Linked DNA regions of Drosophila melanogaster. The protein of the gene in region 2 interacts with the protein of the main gene of each other region in a biochemical or structural test. Each region holds a gene or a part of one and is shown on either strand. Other genes may lie near its edges.

The links. The genes of interacting proteins can lie anywhere in the genome.
Region 1: the proteins of dpr5 (region 2) and DIP-eta form a complex in vitro, tested with the Drosophila melanogaster proteins (one study listed by BioGRID).
Region 3: the proteins of dpr5 (region 2) and DIP-theta form a complex in vitro, tested with the Drosophila melanogaster proteins (one study listed by BioGRID).

The regions. Positions count from the first base shown.
Region 1 is NT_033779.5:5,613,771-5,620,811, reverse strand, and holds the start of DIP-eta (Dpr-interacting protein eta), read left to right. Parts: upstream 1-2,865; 5' UTR 2,866-3,157; intron 3,158-5,150; exon of another isoform or gene 5,151-5,582; intron 5,583-7,041.
Region 2 is NT_033777.3:11,496,987-11,507,228, reverse strand, and holds dpr5 (defective proboscis extension response 5), read right to left. Parts: upstream 7,246-10,242; 5' UTR 6,877-7,245; coding exon 6,801-6,876; intron 6,160-6,800; exon of another isoform or gene 6,113-6,159; coding exon 5,984-6,112; intron 3,818-5,983; coding exon 3,449-3,817; intron 2,935-3,448; coding exon 2,677-2,934; intron 1,956-2,676; coding exon 1,777-1,955; 3' UTR 1,703-1,776; intron 1,641-1,702; 3' UTR 1,278-1,640; downstream 1-1,277.
Region 3 is NT_033779.5:5,654,385-5,661,536, reverse strand, and holds the start of DIP-theta (Dpr-interacting protein theta), read left to right. Parts: upstream 1-2,976; 5' UTR 2,977-3,142; intron 3,143-7,152.

The DNA.
Region 1 (7,041 bases), on a different chromosome or scaffold from region 2:
GCTAACTAAATGGTTCATATCGACACAAATATGTCGTATCAATAATAACTGATCCCTACTCACCCAATAACTATTGAGTAAGTATTAAAAATGGTCGAAGGACTTAATTCACTTTATATCACTGTCCTGTTCGCCACAAAAAAAAAATTAAATGGCTTTTAATTTCCGATGGCCGGAAGAAACAACTTCACAATTACTGTCGACAATATCAACTGATCCAATCATTGGATTTCAATAGGAGATTGAGTCGTCTAAGTGCGTGTGGGGAATATAAACAATTATAAGAGAGTGCAAATTATGCCTAAAGTGGCAAAGAGAATAAATAAAATTAAGAGTATAAGTATCTCTATATTTATGGGTAGAATTTGGAGAAGACAATTCAATGCCCTTACAAGAACTATATCATATAAGATATAAGTAAAAAGTTTACAGGGTGCAATTACAATGTAGTAATATTTAAGTAAGCGTCCCTATTGATGTCTCTATTTTGGACGCACGATCCGAATAATTTCCGAATATTTCCATATAATTATACACTTTTATAGACTTTTAATTGGCAATTTCCTAAGCCGGTTGGCAACCTTGACGCTTCCTTCTATAACTCAGCCAGAACTTTTGTCTATTAAACGGCGCCGTAAAAGCGAAAATATAGTCATAATTTATGGCAGTTAAGCAGCTAACAAACCATCCTGCAGATCCTCCCCATCGACCCCAACTTCCCCACCACCTTTGCATGTCGAGCCCCCATCAGTGGGAGTGGGCAGATGTCCCGATGTGGTGGGTGGTGGCTCCAGACGCGCAGGTGATTCGTCCGCCGGGTGGCAGGTGAAAGAACTGCAGCTGTCGTCGTCGCATCCAGCGAAAAACGCGGAAGCGAGTGAAAAGCAATTATCAGGTGTCAAAATTTATATTAGGGGCTTGCAAGCTCGTAAAAGGATACCAGCCAGGAAGCAAGGCAAAGGAAACAAAGCAAGAAACTTGAAAACAAGTTGCTAGTCCTCCCAGTCCCTATATACTGAGAGAAAATAGTTCAAATAGTTGAATAGTCAAATTTATAAATCCATCGTTGAACATAACGTAATATTTCATTAAAGTGTATTTGTTCTTGAATAATTCTAATATGTAATCTCTTTGATTTTAATTTAAAATAATCAACTTTCTTTCTTCGAGTGTAGAGCTAACCCTTTTGGTAAAAATGATTTGTGGCTCCAGTGCATTGGCACGCAATGAAAAGTTTTCGATGGAGAAATGGAGCGGGATAGATAGTTCCTTCCAGGGACGCTTTATAAATCCTTTTTATACGTCATAAAATCTGTTATTGGTGGGTTTCTACTGTTTCCATCGCTATTATTTATTGGTCGTGTGCGTGTGTTGTGCGAAATTATATGCCTGTTATAAAGACGCGATAGGGAAAGGGGGCGGGAGTTGATTAGCTCCCGAAATATATATATATATATATAAGTATATATGAGCAATTTAGAGTTGCAGAGGGCGGTGGCCAGGTCAAAACGGTGCCTGACACAATGTGGCACGGTTATTGAAAAGCGACTGGCTGGTGTGCGTGTGTGGGTGGGTGACTTTCCTGCCTCGCTTGTTGCACTTGCCACACATAATGGAAATCTCCAAAGAAAAGTTTCACCAAGCAGAAGAAATTTAATTAAATAATGTATCATAGCGAACGGACTTTGAAGCATTTTTGAATCGATCGCAGTCAATTTTTAGTTGCATATTTCAAAGTATTGGGGGCACTAATATATTTAATAACAATCAAAACTGACTCGGAACGATGCAGGCGAATTTTATTAAATAATATTTCATGCTGAACGACTTTGTTATATCGTTTTATATAAATAAGACGGCCTAGTAAAGCACTAATTTAATTTTAAAAATTTTATTTCAATTCTTAGTTGGAAAGAACTTTGTTTCTGCATATATACTACAAATTATATCGTTAGAAAATTTTTGTTTGAGAATTTCAAACAGATTTCAGTTAGATGTAAGATTGGCCTTAGTTACGTCTTTAAATTTATGGAAACTATTTCTTGCGAACCATTGAAACATTGTTTTTTATCAATACATACTTAAATTTAAAGCATAATTTTCTGATAATGATTGATTTATATTAAATGAATCCCGTAAAAGAGATCCAAAATAGAAGACAGCGAAAGATCATCTTGCAGATGGCTTCCATTCCATTTTCTTCTACCTACAAGTCAAAATATATAGTATTTTCCTATGGCAATAATCTGTTGTACTTATTGCAGTTGTCAGAATTGCAAGTGATAATTCCCTCTCTCATATTCAAGCGCCACGACCAATGACAATTCATTTCTTCATCTCACACAGTTACTTACTATCAGCACCCCCTCTCACCATCACCATCCCTTCACCCAACCCAAAAAGGGTTAACCCTTTCCTTTGCCACAGATTTCATTCATAAATGCGAGCCACCAGTTTCACGCGCCCAAAAGTATGGCGAGAGAATTTCCCAGGCTTTCAATGCCATTCAATTCGTATTCAACCGAGCCGAGAGCGCGCCCCCCATTGGGCAGCACACGCACACACACACGCGCAGAGCATGTTAGGAAAAAAGAAGCACCACGAAGTGAAAAGCGCCCGCCAACAAAAAGCAAAATAAAATGTGGCCCAGCAACAACAAAAATCACAGTTGTCTGATTCGTTCGCGAGGCCGCTGCCCACCCCCCGGGCGCCCACTAAAAAACACCACCCACCCACTGGGGCGCCCACACTCCCCCCAAAACCCCCCAAAACGACGACGATTCGCCAAAGGAGCATCTTCGGCATCGCTCGGCAGTCGCTGGGAGTCGTTCCACGCGACTTTGGTGGCCCTCGGAAATGCTGGCTTCAGTACATCGACGGCGCTCGGTTCGTGCGGTTGGCCTTTAGTCCTTCGAATCCTGCTGCATACAAGCAAGCAGAATCCCTAACGGAATCGCGTGTGTTTTTTGCCGCCAAGTGTTGCATTCGTGCTGCAAGTGAATCGAAGTGATGCTGTAGACGCCATGAGTGACTTGTGCTGAGCGAATTTCTCGACAGGATTTAAAAAAAAAAAAATCAGGACAGCTCAGCCGCAGGACATGTGCAATTTGGAGTTTCACGAAAAATACAAGATTGCCAAGAAAATGCTCTGAAAAAGGTTGTTATGCTGCAGCTATTAAGTTAAATGCGAACTTCCATTAAAATCTGCATGCAAGACTATTGAAAGAAAGCAAGGAATCCTTTTTCTAATCGCTGGCTGTGATTGCGGCCAGTGAAGGCATTCGAAAATAGTTTGGCAGCGATTTCGGCCAGGTCAAATCGACAACAAGTAGAATTCGCTCGCGTGTTGAGTCGCGCGCGTTTTTAGCCGCTTGTTGGCAATTTAGCCGCGATTTTGGCGACATTTGCCGTCAGCTGCGTGTTTGCTGTAATTATATTTAAAGTAAAAACAAAGCCCGAGTTATTTATGAAGCAACAACAATCGGGCCACCCTCGGCGGTCAATGCTCGTCACATGATTTGCCATTCCAGCTGCATGCGTGTCTGTGTGTGTGTGTGTGTGTATCGTGAAATTTGCCTACAAATGTGAATGTGTCTGGCGCGCCACTCGACGCTGTTTATTACGAGTGTCCCCGTATGGCAGGAGTGCACTGTTTAGGCCACATGGGCAACAATTGCATATTTTATGTTTCACGGCTGCCCGAGTGTAATTTAAAGTTCATTGATATCCATAAAGCGCAGGACAAACCCTCGACGCTTCATGCCAATTTGCTGTCTAGCTGGCTAGCCATTTGTTGCAAATATGTTGCAGCGCTTTTGGGACGAACCGGAAATAATATGTGTACAGTGTACACTGTACAACCCACATTCGGTGGTTTTCCCCCGGGGTGGCATGATGGTGCCTGTTTTCGATTTATGGCGTTTCTCTATCATTTGCATTTTACATATAATTTCTGATCAGTTGTTATCTGCTCGATTGTGATTTCAGTTGGCGCCCACAGCCGAATGTGCACTGTCTACTGACGCTCCAGGTGGGGCCGAGTGGTATACATATATGTATATTATGGAAATTAAAACATGTTGACTCAAGATTGAAAACCCTGTTGTTCTGCTGCGAAATCGTAATCCCCTTAATCCGAATTCCCCCGCCTGCTCCGGTATCAATTGCATAAGAAGAATTCCAATTGCCCCCGGAGCGATAACGAAATGGTTGGCAAGGCCTCGTCGTTCAGTCGGCTTGACATAATGGCCGGCATGTGAGGAGTTGGATTTTTCCTGCCATTGTTGTTGCTGTTGTTAATAACAAGCGATAATAATCAACTTCCGTGCTGGAAAGCGAGCGGAGGAGAAAATTGTGAAAAACCGAGCGAAACTCTGATTTCTAGAAGGCGCTGCCAGCCTGAACACTATGAGTTATGCAAATTTTATGCAAGGTCCGGTTAACTGGGCTGCCCTTTTCTGGGCCGGATTAAAAAAAATTTAAAAAGCTAGACGGCGAATAATTCTGAAAAATGTCGAAGTGGCATCGCGATAGAGCGGGATATTTATCACGTGTTAATTAATGTTTGCGCTGGAAATTGAATTTAAAGTATAGCTCGAGAAGTCTGGTAGTAGTAGCGAATGACATTTCAGTTGAAGCTTCTACATGTCAGCATTATTGTTTTAAAGGGAAAAATGCAAAAGGTGCTTCAAGCAAACTGTCGGGGGGGTTACTGAAAATTTGCCATAATTCAGCAGCTGATTATACACATTGAAGCGTTGGAGAAAAAGGGACCGTGCATGTCCGAAACCATAAAAATAATATATGGCTTGAACACTACAAAGGTGCCATGAGCACCTCTTATTATTTGTCATAAATATTTTCTTTTTTTGCTTTTTCATAAGTTGTACTTAAAGCTGGTAACAAAATAAGTACAGGAAAAGGATTTAGAAACATCCAAATTGAAATAAATTACACATTTGCTTGGAAAATTGCTTGTGGTCAATTTAGGCATTCATCACATTGCTCGATTGAATTTTCGCTTTGTTTAAATACTTTCCATTATTTATTACAAAATATTTTCAATTTTATATAATTACAGAAGAATGTGAAACACAATATATATTATATATGCTTGAATGAATGAAGATATTTTGTCAGTGTAGGCTGTTGTGCCAATTTAGAAAAGCAAAACTTTTAACTCGTGATAATTAATAAACATCAGTGATCTACATCGCCATCAATATCCAATGGCACCAAACATCCAAGAGCTGCCCACCAGAAGCGGGAAGGTACTTTCGACACAATCGCCTCGATATGGCTTCGGATTGTGGTCAGGCCGTGGGCCTGAAGCCTGAAGCCATCACCTGTCCCTGACTCCGAGTCCGACTCCTGACGTGGCCCGCATGCTCTAAATTATTAATAATATTGCCAGGCCCATTTGCTAGACATTTTTAGTGCCTACCGCCGTTCCAGGCCAACCGCCACCCCCTCCCTGTAACCATTTGCAGTGCTGTCGTTTGCCTGTTGTCTTTTGTAGTCTACTTTTCTGGGCATGCAATGCGGATTTAAATGTGTGAGTGTATGGGTGTGTGTGTGTATGTGTGTATGACAAAGGACACATAGCACACATGCCGGCAACTTTGCTTTCAATTCCGCTAAATTATGAAAAAATCAATACGAACTCGAAGGGAGGGGACAAGGAATTTTAATGAAATGTCAGTTTAAAATGGTTCCTGTCAGTTTGCGGCCGCCAGAAAGTAGACTTTTATTTTTCCAAAACCCGAAATCGTTTGCATGTTCAGGCTCATGGCCGAGTCAGCTGGAAAGTTAATCAAGGTTCCCCAATCATAAGGGCGGACTTTCGAACATATTGATATCTGCGTCTGGCAGCAGGCACCCTTCTATTATTGCCCCCGAACTAGTTTTAAGTGTTCCGTAAAAATAGTTTGAACAGAAATATAGGGTTCAACCTCAGCTTATCAATAGTAATTTAAGTAATCGACAGAACTTGACCAGCGAATCTTAGCGAGTAACCGGGCCCATAGTGATAGTAACTTTTATTAGATATTTTAGATACTTTTGTTTTTTTTTTTACACAAAATAATTCCCTGTTAACTATAAATTTCCGTTAAATAAAGATCTTAATGGTAGTTCTAATGTATTTTTATGCATTTTTGTAGACAACAGCAATTTAACTATCAATTCAAACGACAATTATCGGTTGGAGACTCTTAACTATAGACCTAGCAAATGGTTTTGACCAATCCAATAACTATTTGAAAAGCTCATGTGATGCATGCTCATGGGCCAATAAACAATTATCGCAAAAGTCTGATTACAACTGCATTGGGTAACATTTGCCGGCAAAAGTTGTGTCATTCATGTCACCTGGGCAGGCTTCTAAAATGGAAAAGGTGAACCGAACTTAACTCCGGCATAAGCCTAACTATTTCAGACCCATCAGAAGTCCGTAAAGATGCACGATTTGATGCTTTATTTACGAGTTCACAACGTTGCGGCTGCCAACGAAACATTTCATTTCCGTTCCGTAAACAGGTTTGCCCACCGGCCACGTTTAAGAGCCGTGAAACAAAACGGAGAACGAGTCTAAAATGAAATGAGCAGAGAGGCAGAGCATGCAACACCTTTTCCAAAAGATAGTTGCAGGTTGGTAGTTAATTTCTGGCAGCTGTTCGCCTGCACAATTTACACAGTCCAAACACGCAAAATAAGCCAAGAGCACTGTTCTCCGGCCGGAGAAGGAAATATGCTGAACTGGGCCCCCGGGGGGAGGGCACAGGATACGTCCGGAGAGGAAGGCCGTTGGCCCTCCGGCTCGGATTTAAACTTGAAACTTTTAATTTGGCGTATTTTCAACCGGCATCGCGATTATTGTTTGCCATTGTTTCGTAGTTTTGATTCTGTTTTCAAGTACTTTTTGTTGAACTTTGCCCTGTTGCCTGTTTACACGCATAAATAGCAACAGCAATGGCCAGAAGTTGATGCCATTAGAGGCGCGCTAATGACTGCCAATTACGAGGCGCGCGGATATTGCCCACT
Region 2 (10,242 bases):
CGCCAAGGGCTACGGATATGGCTCCGAAACCAGCGACTGCGGGCATGCCAGAGGCTGTGGCTCCTACTGGGCTGCAGCCCTGAGCATGATTTGTTACTGACAGCGTCTCAGGCAGCAGGAGCAGCAGAAGCAGCAGAAGCAGCAGCATCGCCCGGAGTCCGAGGCTGGGTTTGATTTATTTCCCGTTGTACAATTTATGAGTGAAGGTGAAGCGGCAGCAACAACAGCACCACAACAACCGGCCCAAGGATCCAGATCCCTCCTTCGGCCGGGCTCAGCTCTTGGAATTCATTGGGCTCAACCCGAGTAGCGTCCTTCCAAAGGGGTCATGTTCCGGTCCGGAATCAAATGGAGGGAATGGGCTGAGCACTGGGACTGTGACTGTCAGGCAGCGCGTGTTTTAGATGCGTAAGATTCCCCAAAGATTTGCGAAATGCCAAGAGGGAAAAGAAAAGCGAACACCACGACATGCTTACGCCCATGTACCCAGCTACTCCACCCTTCTGTTGCCCCCGTTTTTAAACCCTCTCCTTTTCGCCGGATTGTGATGGATGCTCGCCTACTTTGGGGGCTCCAGGCTGTGCGGTTGCGAAGATGTTCCATCTTCGCGCCGGAGCCACCAGCAGTCCTTGCGTGCAGACCCATTAGCGGCTGCGAACGTCTTTTATTTCAATTACCACCACCTTATGCAAAATTCAGCGAACACTTGGCATTAAGGAGATGCGTTATGCGGCGTGTTCCATCCTTGCGAGTCCTTCTCCTTACCCAGCCATTACTCATTGTGTTGTCGGCGCTTTTGAAGCACTTGGAATTGTCACTGAAGTCCCTGCATTCAGGTACTTATTGCCAAGATATCCCATTGTGGCCACAAACTTTGTCCGAGAACTTCAGATGTAATTGCCGGCGTGGAGTGTGAATTATGCACGCCTCAAATGTTTCAATTACCTTGCTCCAGGCACACCTGTCGTCGCACTTCCCTTCACAATTTCCTTCGCCACCCAAAAAAGTGAAAGTGTTCCGTCTTTGATGTCGTTGCCGGTGGAATGGGGCGGAGTGTGTGAAGCAAAGTATGTACTGATGACCCGACCTGACCTTATCGTATTTCAATTACCGCTGGAACCCTCAACGCATCGCCCCGGCAATTAAGCGGCATAATCCGGGTCGCAGGATGTCAGAGGCGGAATTGAATTCGTTCACATTCATATCGCCATCAATCATTGGTGGAGAAAATTAAATTGCAACCGATTTATCATAATTAATCTAGATCTCGTCTATCTATTATTAAGATTAAACATTTATTTACATTCGTTACGGATTCGATTCGATTCGGATTCGATTGCTCGTTTTTAGTATCTCTAGGTATGCGATCGTGTGTGAACAAAATGTATATGTCCCATTTGCCACATAGCCAAGATTGACTATATATAGCCTAGCCAGCACATATGCTCTCTCCACCTATTTACTTAATTACGTATAAAAATACTTAGAGACTGAGCCACAAAACACAAACACAAACGTAAACAAAAACTCAATTTACATATTTACAAGACAACGCGACATCGACGTCGTTAACCTCCGCATCCAGCAATTTCTACCGGGCTCCTCCAATGTGGGCGGTTACTGTGACGTGGAGGCGTGGCCTGTAACGAGATGATGACTACGACTCCTGAGCTGATGGTGGCATTAAAAATCACCGACTTACCCGGCCACCAGGAATAACGGGGCTCCCATGGCTCCAGACATCGAACATAAGTTGCCGCTCGTCTTTGGCTCGGCTTAGCGGGTTGAGAGCGGGGTGCGAATCTGGAGGCTGGAGGTGGGGCCCAGCAGGACGACCAGCAGGACCGCCAGGAGCAACAGGGGCAGAGGGGGCAGGAGCAGCCTCGAGCCCAGCTCGTGCTGCATGGCCGCGTGCTGCTCACTTTTAATGATATGCACAAAGACGCTGTCAGAATCTGTTGGGAAAAGGTGGCAAAAGGGTGGGTTAGAAAATTGTAAAATAAATATTTTAGGTCGTTACTTATTAAAGGGCTGAATTTAAATATTAAAGCTGGCATACTCTGTACGAAAAGCAGTGAAAACAATTATTTGAATGTATAATGTATGGCTGCTTTAGCAAGAGTATTATTAGCTATTGTAATAACATTAGTTATTTTTTAAAAACTGTATCTCCTTGAATAAATAACAATAATAAATGTGCACTGCTATTTTCGAATAAAATTTCATAATTGAGTTTATATGCATTCAATATGTAAACTCAATTATAGAATATTATTTTATGCAATAAGCCACCATTAACTTAATGCCTTGTAGCTATGGATAAAGTGAAATCTGTATATTTTACATTGTAACTGATCACAATGTATACTACACCCATAAATAAGTAAGCAATTGAATTAATTTGATTTTCAGTATTTGATGGTTAATTTACGATGTTTATATGTGCAACTACTTTTCGATAGTCATGTGCATGTGTAAATATTTTATACGAGTCAGTTGGTGGCGTGTTTCAAATGTAATTAAGTATTTAATGAAATCGAACTTTCGTTGTAAAACTGTCAGTTCCATCTTGGACTAATTGGATTTAAATTAAATTTTCGACACACACACCTTAATCGCATATGTATTCACCTAGTGTCCTTAATCTAACAGTTCATGCATTTCTAAAGGACTCACTCGAGTTGTCCGCGGAGCAGGTGTAGTTGCCCGAGTCCGTGTGCTGGACTCGCGATATCACCAGGTTGCTGGTCTTCATCTGCTGCTCGGACTCTACGCGGATGCCACCCCGCGCCGAGTCGCTTACCAGCTCCGTGTCCTTGTGCCACAGCATGTGCGTGTAGGGTCCTGGAGCCTGGGGTGCGATGCACGTCAGATTGATGTCGCTGCCACTCTGGATGAACAGCTCGCGGTTGGCCAGGATCTGAGCCTTGGAGGCTGTCAAAGAGCGGCGTCGTTTTCGATTAATGGGTATGTCAACAAGTTGCCTATTGGGTGGATCCATAGCCCTCAACCCCTCAACTTCTCAATCCCTATTCCCATGCCCCATCCTAGTTTGTCGTGTGATGTACTGGGGTGTTTGATAAACTAATTTGTCAAAGTAATCCCAGCCCTTCGCGCCCTTGCGCTGCTGTCTAAACGGAGATGTAAGCAACGTCTTACAAGACCGCCAATCGATTGAGATTCAATGGGAGTAATAAAACAGGAACTTGGGGCTGAATTTCGATTGAATAATTATGATGGGTCATGAAAGGGTTCGGAACAAACTTAAGCGGATTCAAATGGATTTGGAATGTTTAGTGGTATGTACATACCAACAGAGAATTATTTGAAGCCCTTCGATTCGTTATGAACACAAGGATATTATCAGTAAATATAGTTTTGGATATATTCATTTGCTCAAAAGTGACAAGTGTCTTGTTCATAGCTCTTCTTAGTGAAAGATACTTACTCACGACGACCAGCTTGTAGGCCAGACTGATCTTGGGCTCCGTGGACACCTGGCACTCGTAGACGCCCGCATCTCTCTGCTGCACCGAAACGATCTTGAGCACCCACTCGTCGGAGTTGTCGATGTGCCGCGCCAGAAAGCGCTGATCGTTCGTGTAGGTCATGATGCCGATGGTCAGGATGTGGAGATCCCGTTGTCGTATCCAGGACACCGCCCTGTCGCCCAGGTGGCGAACGCGGCAGTGGAGACGGGCGGTGGTGCCCAAAGCTGCAATAACCTCCCGATCTGTTGTGTTGTCAAACACGGGATCGATGGCATCGTAATTATCTGGTATCAAGTTGGACAATTCCTCGGCGGCGGCCAGATGGCCTGTAAAACAGTAAACAGATTATAATTATTTAAAAGGTTGAATAAGTTGAATAAGTTTTAAGAACCCAAGGATATGAATAACCCTCTAAACGTCAAATTTATCCCCGCGGAAACAGAATCTATGCCAATATATATTGTTAGTACATAAAGGGCCTAGATATTCAAGCTGCCCATTAAATATTCCCTGGGTAGTTCATTCCACCAGTTGTATCTGAACGTCAATCTAAACGTATTCAAGTGCATTTCAGGACCTGAGCCCAGGAGGCAGGCAGGCAGATGAACACAGGAAGCGTCGGATAGATAGACAGTTAGACTGGCAGATAGATAGATGAATAGATAGATATGCAGACGGACAGACAGACGGACGGACAAACGGACAGATGGATGGTCGATTGGTTGGCTCAATCAGCTGGCGGGGATGCCTCAGCTGGCAATCAGCATTCATTTGATTAACGAGTATTTGTGCTTAATTTATGCCGGAGCTTAAGCCTACACCCCTTTGGAGCCATTCCCGCGTTTATGATCCATCGCTGGGCGGCCAAGTGATTTATGTGGGTGGTGGTGCTATTGGCGCTATTGTTGCTGCAGCTCCACCGCCCAAATGGCGATGTATTAGCCAACTAATGCGCTAATAATCCATGAGTGCCTAAACAAATACAAACACAAATACAGCTGTGCGTGGGATGTGAAGGAGAAGGGACTGGGTACTACTCGATTGGTTATGTGGATATGTGGATGTGGAGTGGATAAACACATATTGATTTATAGGCCAGGATCCATATTGTGTGCGAGTGTGGTTGAGCAAATTTAGCTATCAAATATCAGGCAATAAAATGACGTTTAACACTTAATTGAAACTGTTGATCCGCAGCCGATGACTATGACGATGCTTTAGCTTTCGCTATGGCTGTTGCTTTTGCTTTTGCTTTTGGCCAGGCCAAGGCACTTGAACTGAAATTGCTTTTTATGCTGGCCACAAAATAAAAAAAAAAAACTCCCTCGCACACACGTTCCCGCACAACGGCAGGAAATATGTAACAACATAAAATTTTTTAATAAAAGTTGCGTATTTACATACAAAGTGCGGGGTGGTAAGTTGGAAAATTGCCGGGTCGAACCGCAACCGCAGCTTCAGTGGCCATGGCTAACGCTTCTGCAGGACCTCAACATCCACATCCACAACCTCCGGCTCTTCCTTCATCACCATATCCCCATCATCCCTAGCTGCAGTTCCCCAAGCGGGCCCTAAACTGAGTTCAGGTGCCATAAATTACAAATGAGCAATTGCAGCTGCTCCTGGGTCCCGCATCAAATTCACTCGCAGCAGAGAGATGCGAAATAGATGGGATCATAAACAATTCCTGACAGCTGCGAGTGCAGATTACCTAATTCGGATCCCCTTTTAGAGATCAGTTATCCATTAGGCAGCTTGCTCCCTTCCGTTGCAAAAAGCGAAGCGGAATTTAACTTTGTGTTGAACCACATTAAACCACATTAAAAGTTTGCAGGATTTAAATGAATAAACCATGTATGCAACTTAAAAAAAAAAAAACATCTGTGTGAAAAAATAACTAACCGGAAAAGTTACTTTCCATAAGTGTAATTTAATAGGCAAATATGTGTTGAGGGATTTGAGAAATATGAAAAAATGGAAATACAAATTCACAAAGTACTAATTGTATGAAATTTAATAAAACATGCTTTTTACGTTTAAGCTTATGTTGCACAAAAAATTATAAATCAAATATAAATCAAATATGGCGAAAAAAAGAGTTAATTTCTTTTATTCAAGTCATAATCGTTGTGCTCGTTTAACTCCTTTAATCTGAACTCCTTTAACTTTAACTCCTTTAATCTATCTAAAAGTAATTTTAATTAAGGTATTAGCAATTTAGTTTTTTAATTTCATTAACCGCTTAAGCAGTTGAGTATTTAAAGTGTGTCCTCTGCCCCAACTGCGAGATCAGTGACCCCTTGTAATCCCCGCCATATCCCTCAATCTAATTAGATTGCTTCGCGCTTCCCGATTCCCCACTTCCGATTCCGATTCCCAATACCATTCGCTCTGCGATTCTCATTTATTATGCCATTTCTGATACGACTGCCCAGTCCCCGGTTGGCTTAACCCTTTGAGTGTTGTCTGATTAGATTTAAATCCGTACTCACCGAAGTATTGGCTGCTGCGCCGGCTCTGCTTGTCGACTGGAGCGGTTAATCCCATGATCACGAGCAGCGCCATAAAGTATTCCACCAACATTTCATGCGCAATTTGTGGGGCTCTCGAATTACTTATAACTGCAGCCAGGACGAAGGACCACCAGCGAAGAGCAGGAGCAAAGTGGGTAGGGCGACAACAGAAAAGTAATTAAAATAAATGATGGCAATCGCGGAGAACTCGACTCTACTCAATTCAACTCGAACCGAACCGAAGCGACTCAAATCGACTCGAAAGGCAACACACAAAAGATGAAGCTAAAGATGAAGGATACTCGCCACCAGCCCCGCCCACTTTTTAGCCCACAATTGTGCAGAAACAATAACTGAAAGGGATTAGGCTCTGGGCTCCGTCTTATCGGTGCTCCGGAAACCGCAGCACATTCATTTAAACTGATGACAAGACCGCAGTGCGGTCGAGTTTTCAATCACCATGACGCCCACAGGACAAGAACGAGATGAAGATGTCCTTGCGAGTGTTTGGCAGGGGGATGGGGGGTGCCTTCCGTTGGGTCGTTAGAAGGATCCTGGAAGTGGAGGGGGGCTGGTGGTTGGATTCGAGCTTTTGGTAATTTCTTCATTACACACTAAGCTGTCCATTCAATTGCTTCTGGCCAACGGATGAGGAAAAGCAGGAGCATTTACCTCGCCCGCAGGCAGCAATTTCGCTCTGGTCACGTTCTGATAATACACTTAATTATATTCGACAGGGACGTGGAGCTAAAAAGAAGGAGGAGGAACTGAGGGACTAGCGCAAATGAGGAGCTACCTTTTCCTATGAGCGGACTAGATTCGGTGGCCGTGGTCGAAGTAAATGTAGCGCGAACTGCGTGCCGCCATCTCATGCGCAACGTAACGCATTCGAGCGCGTTGCGTTTGTGTCCTTTTCCGCGGAGCGAGCAGGTCCTTGGCTTACGTAACAGCCCTTACGCTACGTAAGGAGCACTCATCCACACACTCCGACACACTCCAGCACCATCACCAGCACCACCAATTCGCAAAATCAGTCACTCCAATGACGCGATTCCAATTCCAATTCCGATTCCGATTGAGACGCCAGATACGAGATACGAGATACGAAAGCCAGCCGAGCAGGCCGAACACGAGTCACGGCTAGCGATTTCCCAGAGTCACGGGTAGCAGTTCACGGGTCACGGGACACAGTTCCCCGAGTTTCCGGTTTGTCAGCGCTCGTTGCGTGTGTGTGGCTTGAGGCGCGGTAAACAACTGAACGGAGCTGCTCCAGCGAATCCTCCAACAATATGCAAATCTCCAGGAGAAGCAGTGTCCTTGCGCCGGCGCAACAGCAACATGTTGCGGCAACATTTATTGAAGCCAAATTGAATGGTAAGCCATCGTATCATATTAGGAGGCGTGGGTGGGTTGTCGGAGGGTTAAGACCTGCTCCTGCATGTCCTTAAAGTTCATTGGAGGTGCGTGGCTGAATGTGCTTATGAAATATTTAGTAGGGTACGTTTGATTTGTGTCACGCAAACGGCAGACAGCAGCAGATCGGCCGGCGACAAGAAAGGAGCAACAATGGAGCAGCGAGCACCAGCACCAGCAATAATGATACACAAAAACACAAAACAACATCAATAATAGAAGGCGGAAAACTCATGCATGACAAGGCGCCTTTTTAAGCCAGCTTTTTGCAATTGAAAGTGGCAGTGGCAGCAACAGACAACCACACACACACTCGCACAGCACTCGAGTGCCACGCATTGTGCGCCCATTGTGTCAAAGCGGAAACGGATATGAAGCGGCCATGGTGCTGTTGCTGCTGCTACTGCTGCTCCCTACTCATGCCGCGCCCCATGTTGCTCATGTTGCTGTGCTGCCGTTGGGCGACTTATCAAAATCGATGAGGCAACATATGGTCGATTTTAATTTTCTAACATATCTCTCTGCACGCACACAGACAGGCGACACACACGAGCCATTGACACGAGACAAGCCACTGGAATACACACACACACACATGCAGACTGGCATCCTCACCTCGGAAAGTCCTTCTGCCTTTTCCACACCCTCGTCGACTGCAGTACCCCCCTGAAATCCGTTTAGCATATTTTCTTTGGAAATTGAATTTCCAAGTTATTATAAATATTTCTCCAATAAATGCAATTTGAGTGGAATTCTTTCTTCGTCGCGTCGTGTGCTTCGACTTCCTCACCTACTCCTGTTTTAGCATATCCTGGCGAATCAAATAGACAACAGGACGAGCGGGCGCCTCAGTTGGGATAGACCACCCACGTCGCTCATATTATTTTACACTAACAAGCCAAACATTCCTTAAATTTAACAAGCGGCGACATTTTGCCAGCCCCTCATCCATCTCTTTTAGCCCTAAGTGAATTCTGTTTTCATCGCTGGCTGTCGGTGAATAGGGGTGCAGAATTATGAAAAATGTTTACTATATATAGGGGGGAAAGTCACCAGAAATTGTTGCAAGAATGTAAGGCGCTTAAAGTGCGGTTGTGGGCCACGATAACTTTTGATACGCTGCCAGTTGCCCAGAAAAGTATGCTTTAATATGTTAAGTTCAATATTTCAAAGCAGTCCGATGAAAGGATCACTTTCGCTGAAACTTCTCGAGTGGAACGACAAGTGCCATTCCGTGTAGTCTTCTTTTGATAAACAGTGATAACTCAGCTGCTTTGACATTCTCTTTTTTTTTTTTTTTGAGACTATAAAGTTTCGAATGGGTTTTTAAACATTGCTAAAAGAAGTTGGTGTTGAACAAACTTTACAACCAGTTCTAAGAGGACAGGAACTTTAAATGAAATGCAACAGAACGCTACTTTCGTGCTTGAATTGCACTCTAGGGGCGTGCGCTATAGGGAATCCCTACTGTATTTGTTATGACTGTGGGGTTTCGTCGCTTTGCGTCTTCGATTTGGACATTGATTGCATACAGAATTGATGGAAACGCTGCCATTCGCTGCTCCTACCTGGCTGCTCCTTCTGCATCCCCTCCCCTGCCTTATCCCAACCACTTTGGAAGCCCTTCCGCTGGGAAGTGCTGTGCTGGGGAAACGGTGATGGGGATGTGGATGTGTGGTGCGGGATGGTGGATGGGGGGCGACTGTCGTGTGTAAAATTGATAACTTTGTTTGTGTAAACAGCGACGCGACATATCGCCCTCCATGGGAGTTTCCTCTCCATTCCGCATCCTGTGCCCCTCCACCTTTACCATTCCCACTCCCTTCCCTCCACCATGCCAGACCGACAAATTTTCCAACATGATGTATGTTTTCGGGGCGTGTGCGTGTTTATATCGCGAATACGTACCGCTGACTACACACACTGGCACTGCGACTCGAATTATCGGTGTCAATTTTTATGCTGCTACGTGTGCGAAATTTAACAGAGCGCCAACTGATGAGTGAACCTGTAGACACATCGCATTCCCTGGTCCACGTTGCCGAAACCAAAAACAAAGCATTAAACGATGTCGCCCAATTTGGCATTACATGGCGATTGCCAAGGACTCGATAACGAAATGGAAGCCAAGCCAAACGAAGAGCTACAGATACAGATACAAATACACAGATAGAAATTCAGCTTCGAGCTAAGGAGTAGCAAGAGGATAAAGAATGTCTGGGCGAAAGCAAGGTGAAAGCCGGCTAAATATGCCAAAAGTAGTTGCAGGAAAGAGGAAAGCCAGGACAATAAGAATCGGAATCACCAGTAGAATCAACAATGGCCATGGTCATACTCATCGGAGGAGTAACAAGCGTTACGGGAGTAACAATACAATGGCAACAGCAATAGCAATAGCAACAGCAACATAACAGCAGCAGGCGGGACAGACGATGCTTAAGTTTTGCTCAACTGTTCATCAGAATTACAAATTGTATTCGATTTCCGGCATTTGTGACGCTTGAGTTAACAGGCGAAGTAAGCAGCCAAATGGGATGGGATATGATGGGATGCGGATGGGGCTGGAGATGGAGATGGAGATGAGGAGCAGATGCTATGGGAAAAAAAAGGGGTGGCGAATGTGCGGTGATAACCCAGCACGGTAGCGATTTAAATGCCATATAAAGTTTTATGCATATTGCGTACTTGTTGTTGCTGTGCCCCAGATAGTTTATTCGTCGGGACAGAAGACAAAAGACTAAACCTAGGACAAGCCCCAAAACGCTCCATTTGAGGCCGTTGGGTTGTCAAAACGTTTGATTCGATTAGACCGATTGATTGTATTA
Region 3 (7,152 bases), on a different chromosome or scaffold from region 2:
AATGGAAAGGTCCTGGGCTTACTTTCGCTCATCAATAAGCTCCATTACGTATACGCCGGGTTGGTTTCGCCCATTGCTCAGCCGACAAACAAACTCAGAGCTGTCTGTCAACCAAGTAAGGGGCTGCATTCGACCTCTGCCAATTGAGCGTTTGCGAATTTGTTTGCGCCATGGACCCCAGCATCTCAGTGCAATCAGGCGGAATATATCCCGCTTTGAGCTGGCTGCTTTTGGAATGATAGAAAGTGTTGCCTTCAAGGGAGCCTCAGTTCCTTTCTCTGCATCGTGAATTCTTTTTTCCAGCCCCCTGCTTTGCATACGCGCCACCCACTGGGCTCTTTGGTGGCCTTATTAAGTTGGCGCCTCTATGCAACTGCCATCAGCCGGGAAAGTTTTTCGCATACCTTCGATGGTCTCGGTCCTTTTTATACGCGGTATATTACCCAGTTAGCTGAATATTCTTGAGTTATATACGAAAATAATAAGAAGCAAACATGATTTATCTCAGATATTTCTGGATGTATTGTCTCAATGCGTTACTGCTGTATTTTTTTGCACTTCAACTACAATTATTTTGATATCACTTTCATACAAGCAAGTAAGACTCATTCTGATTTGTTTAGCCAATTGGGTCGATTGAGCAGGGTAACTTTTGATCGACTCCAGTTGAAAGCTCTTCTACATATTTTCACTCGCTCCAGTTTGTTGGGGTTGTCATCGTTGCAACTTCATTGTCAAAGTTGGCAAAGAGTCTTGAAGGGAAAGTTGGAGTGGGAAACTACAAAGAAATGCACAAAAACTGCGTTGTGCAAATACGGAGAACGAGAGTGGCGAAAAACGATGCAACGGTCTGCCAGTTGGGCGCTAATTATATGTAAATAGCTGGAATGAAACCGCCGCTCGAGGTGCCAGATAATTGGCCCTCATGCAACTGCCAAGTATAGTTTACAGCCGAAGTGATCAAGGGAAACAGTCTGCGAAGGAAAAATGCTCAAATTGTCGAGGCGTGAAGGACGACTCTTCTTTACGGTAAAGCTTTTGGCATGACCCCTTAGGAAGAATTAGAGAAATTTAAATGTGGCTACTTTGAGTGCCAAGGACTGTGCCCTAACTTGTTACTTAACGTGTCCTAGGCAATGACTGTTAGCTTAATTTACGGAAACTTAAATGGTACGCAATGCAATAGCAATTAGCTCAAATGCTAGATGAAATTCCTTTGCATTTAGGTCATTAGAGAAGAAAAATTTCATAACACTTCTCGGTGTGCGTGAGAAGGCATTTTCCCCCTTGGCCACTTCTTCTCCCCGGAGACAACATTCAGGACATAGAACAGCATTACAAAATTTCCCCAAAAAATTCGTAGAAATGCCAAAATAAACGAGTGGGATCGCTGGAATGAGATGGCGCAAGGTAAGGATGTGGAGGATGCTACCCACATGAGCGACAGTAACCAACACGTACAAAACGCATAAACATTCTTGCCTAAGTGAGTTTGTACATAAATTTCGAGCAACTTGCGTTGCAGGATGCGTTACAAGGAGACGATTTTGTGTGGGTCTCAGGATCTGTTTAAAGGGAATGAAGGGGGAGACTGTAGCAGTCTACTGTGAGTAGAGCTAAACTTACGCAAAAATCCATGGGAAACCAAGTGAGTTTTGAAGTTTAGACGGTTGGCTCAGTTTCGGTATCCTAATTTATTTATGCAGCCCCTGGCAAATGCAACTTTACTTAGGATGGATATCACTCAGCTATTCATCGTGTTAGCGTCAGTGCTTATTCGAAGGTATTCAGATGCAATTGTTTTATGTTCGAAAAATATCTTAACACTAAAAAATTTGTGCTACTAGCGTTTACTTTTCACCTTTGAATTTAGAAGAAAGCTAAGAATTTATGAAGATTTCCTACCAAATAACTAAATAGCATTTATTATTTTTATGACATCAAATTTTTAACTACCCAACTATTTAATACCAATTACCGACTACTGGTGTGTGCAACTTGAAAGCTGGAATTGAAATTATTCAACGAATCATGGCAATATCATTGGCTGTTTGCATTATGCAAGCATACCCGGTCCTTTGATGCTTGATGGCATTTCCCGAGCACCTACACACACGCAGCCGGAAAAGAAGCAACTTTAGTAGCATATTTCACGGCGCTGCGTCCGAAGAGAGAACGCTCTAAAGAGCACCGCTTGCCGAAGAGAGAAGCCTTGGGTAAGAGAGACCGAAGCGCACATTACTGACCTACATTAAGTAAAAATTTATTTATGCCGGCTGCCAAATTGGTTCCCCAAAGCATTGGCAGGCCCCGCTGTCCCCTGGTCCCTGGCTTTATGACTATGACGGATATGATTGTTGGTCGGAGTTTCCCTTTCCCCTCCTCGTACTTGCCCACTATTACTGCCTTTGTGGTTGTTGGCTTAAATAATAATGGCTTGTAATTTGCATAAATAATGTTTGATTTTTGCATTGATGAGGGAAGAGTGTGTTCCGCGTGTGTGTGTGTATTTGGGGAATTTTAAATGATTGAAAGCTCGGTCATCATTGGGGAATGCCGGGCTAGATGGCACGAAATTTTTGCATTTAAATCGATAAATTAGTGGAAAGAGCTCTAAAAATCAGTATGCCAGGATATGAGTCGTTTGGTCTATTTGGAAGTTGCATTGTAGATTTAAGCCCACCAAATAGGAAGAATAGTTTGCTGCTATAAGGGTCGACTTCGATGCCCCAACAATGGTTTCTTATCCTGCCACAGCACTGTTAACCAGCTAACAGAGCTCTGGCTCTGTTGCTCTCTAACGGGACCTGGTTCTCTTTGCCTTTGGAGTTCGGCTCGCTTCGGCAAGTTCGCGAGTGCTTGCCGAACTCCACGAACTCCGAGCCGAAGAGCGCTCGGTAGTCGACAGTCGTGACGAATGACGGCGATTATCGCCCTTCGAGGACTTTGTGTAATCAGTGCGTCCTGCTAAGCAAATTAGTTTAGTATGGTTTTAGTGCGCAACGCTGACGGTCGCACCAGTTCGCAGCTCTTAACACGTTGGTGTCGAAAGTCGACGCGCTCGCGTTTCGTCCCTCGCTTGAATTGAATGCCGCGAGTCGCGAGTGCCTGCGATATCATCGGAGGACAATAGCTCAGCACTGTACGTAAGCGGAAGGAATGGCCAGAATTAAATAAATAAATAAGTGCAAGACACAACCGGAGACGCTGGCTGCCAACTTCAATTTGGTACTTCATTTTTCACAGCCCGCTTAACGCAAATTGTGCCGGTCCTGGCTCCTTGCTGGGTACTAAGGTCCTGGTGCATACCCGTGCATTCTCCGCTCCCCTCCCCTGTTGATTGCATTCTTGGCGGCAAGTCGAGCGTGGCTCATTAAATGGCTGGCGAAAAAAAATGAAAGAGGAGTGCCGACTTGCGGAAAAACAATCACAGCATTTCTCTCGGCTGGTAGAGCCTGCAAACGGCATTTATAGAAGGGCCCTAGCGGCGCTGGGAAATTGTGGTATTTTATTCGTTATTTCACTTTGACTGTCACGCCAATTGAATTAATTCCACCGAGGAATTTAGGATTTAATTTGACATTTAATTATTGCAATTAAAAGTGGCCCGCAAAGCGCAGCATCAACAAAAAATGTCGTTTCAAAACAGGATTATGATCAAACAGAACGCAACGAAATTATGAAATTTTGTTTGAAAAAAAATGAATTACTTTCGAAAGTGGTTGACAACATAAAGCCGTGTCACATTACAGCAGCGGTTTGTTATAAAACGCGTAATAAATCTAAGAAAAAAGGAAAAAAGCTTTTATATTGATGAAAGGAAAACTTAAACAACAGGGTCAGAAAAACAATTATTGTATACAATAAAGGTTAACATTAATGGCAAAAGGATACATATATATATATATTTATATATATATATTTGGTTTTTATGCCTTAATAACTTGTTAGCTCTGCCCAATTCTATGATTTGAAACCCCTAGGATATTTTGTCTTTGTATTTTGTATATTAGTATCCTAAAATATCCTTCTCGTTATCAACATAAACAAAATAGCGATTTATTATTATTACAATTCCTTTGACTTCTAGCATTGCCATTGCTAGCTAAAAATATTCAAGCCTGAATGATGTGCTTAACAAATTAAGTTCCATGCAACATGATTTCTTAAGCAACGTTTATCCTTTATTATATGCATTCACTACTTTCGTATATACACATATAATTCAGAAAAGTTTGCGAAACGTCGAATACTTGGTATCAGCAAACTTTTTTGATAACTTTACTTCACTTGTAGCCCGAAAACAGTTTGAAGTGCAGGACGAAAATCACCCAAGGACGAGCTTTAACTAAATTATTGGGAGCTCGCGTCAAGTGTCAGACTTTGGGGGGGAAAATGGAATAACAGTTTGCCTTTGTTGTGTCTACAAATTTGTGGGGCGCTGTTCGTCAGCGCTAATGAATAGGTGGGGAGTTTTGTGCACAATTATCAAATAAAACGGGTAGCCGACCGCACAATTACACACAATATTTTCGCACACGCACCCAAAACGGAAGCCGTATAAACAACATGAATATGAAATTTAGCTGCTAGAAGCATATACATGCACATACATACTATAGATGCACAGCTCGTTGTGGATGGCCGTCCAATAAGCGACATAAAATATGCGAGCACTCACACACACTAGCGCACGCGAGCGAACACTAACACATGCATATGCACATGCGGATGAAGCGCCCGCAGCGAGTGCGGGAAATATTTTATGCACTTTATGCGGCCTGGACGGCGCTTGCTGCTGGGGATCGCTAATTAGGCAATATGCACTTGATTGTGTTATAATCATTAAAACCGGAAATGCATGGCCAACCCACAAAACACAAACGAGCGCAAACGCTTGGCCACACACACACGCGCACACATACGAATATGCGTGAATGCTTTCAGGTGGCTGCAATAGTTCACAGCATACTTTCGCACAGGGCCAAAAAGTGTTTTACCAAAGTTTCGAAATTTCATCACAAGAGTAAATGGGGTCGGTCTCACCATCCTGTCCGATTTTGTTAGTTTCCCATTTCACTCTGATTAATTATTTGGTGAAAAATAATTAAGTCTTTGAGGGGCTGGCAAGGCGTCGGAAAAGCAGCTCGTTCTCCCACAAAATGACGGAAAGTCACATCAATGGCTCGGCGGAAACGGAAGTGCGGGAAAGCAAACACGTGTCGGAAAAATGTCTGCTTGCAACAATGTGTGCTCGTACAAGTATATGTGTGCCAATGCACTTCCGCACACCCACACACCCGCACAGCAGGCGCCCATGTTGCATATGTAAAGCGGCTTGTAAGCTGGCCAATTTTTTATGCATTTATGCATTTTCCCCCGCTGCAGCTGCATCCCGTCCCCCGCTGACCGTTTTTTTTATTAAAGTTGCCCGTTAAGAAAAGCCCAGAAACCGCAGCAACAAACAGGAACGCCCACTGTGCGAACTGCATCGCACGTCCAAACGCCTTTTTGTAGGTTAATCAAATGCAAGACGGGGAAAATGCACAAGCTGCATGTCAGTGGGAAATGCTGCTTGTGGCTAGTTAGTGTGAGCGGGCGTTGGAGCAAGCATTTTGCCATCTTTTTGTGTACGCATTTCGCATGGCTTGTTATATTAAAAGAAATTTCCCAGCTGAGAAGAGACAAGGCAAGGAAAAACAAGCAAGCATCATGGCAACTGACAGCCAAGATGGACGGCTCTGTGATTTGATTTTTATTTCGAGCGATGCACAACAGCAGCTGGCAGTCAGTGGACAGATGAATTATGGCAAATGATGTAAACGCTCCCAGTGGATGTGGCTCTAATTAAACCGAGGGCCAAGAAGCACTCATAGCCCAAGTACTCATTTTCTCCTTTTACAATAGATAAATGACGTTTCGCAATTTCTCAAAAGTTTCGACTACCCTTGCTGGTTGCCTAAAACCAGAAAAAAATATTTCCTTTACTTGCATATTTATTGATTTTCAAGCCACAAGAATTTTTCGTAACGAATAGCTGTAAGTCTTCATAATAGGATGACCAAGAAATGTCGCGTCGAAAAGATAAATATTCCAATTCATCTGCAATCCGAGCAGATTTTGATTGGCACCAAACGCTATAAAAGTTTAAGCTTAATTTAATACATTTTCTGCATATTACCAGCGACAGTCACCAAGCTGCAAAAAAAAAGGAAAAGCACAAAATCCCCACCACCATTTCAGGTGACATAAACAAGCCTTTTATTTGGCATTCTGCTGCAGTTTTTGACACGCGAAAGTAGCAAAACGCTTTCAAAAAGAGAATGTCAAATAAAACACGGAAAGAATGCGGATAAGAGGAAAATTCACAAAGAAAAGAAATTGAGGAAAATATGGATGCAGACGGAACTGAGCGAAAAACTAGCTTTGGGTATATGTATATTAAGCACGAAAAGCTGTCACTCGCGATTGTCTCGACTATTGGATACCTACTTTTTTGTTAGCTTATTGGCGAATAACTTATTAATTCTTATGCGTTTCACAAGTAGCATAAGTACAATAGCAATACTAAACTGGATTTTCCTGTCTCAGTGCTGGCAAAGCTTAATATGATGGGTATGCTTAAATATGCATTGCAAAAATGTAAGCTGCTTTCATTATACCTTTTATACCCTTTGCACAATATACCCCACTCTTTACGATTGGCGGGCACAAAAATGCAGAGTCCAGAGGGAGATATCATTTATTATTTCATTTCCGAAGCAAGACAGCGCAAAAGCCCGAGACAGCAGGAATGCCGTGGATTAGCAACTGTCATTGACAGTTGGAAATCATAGACGCCATTTGGCTGGCTGCAAATTGCTGGCCGCATTTCTTTGTTTGTCATTTAACGATTGACAGCTGGCGATAAACAGAACGAAACAAAACGAGACGGTTCGGGGACTTGGCCAAAACAAAGGCTGCCACACAACGAGCCAAATGAGAACGGTGGAAGGTAAGGCGACTGCCGCCAGCCATCAAATGGAAATGTTAATGACGCATCTCATCGAGAAGGTGTCAATTGCCTTGACTTTATACTTGGCCAAAAATGCCAAGTTTGCATTGCCCATTGGCTTACCTATTTGGCATTCCTTTTTTCTCTGTCCGGCTATT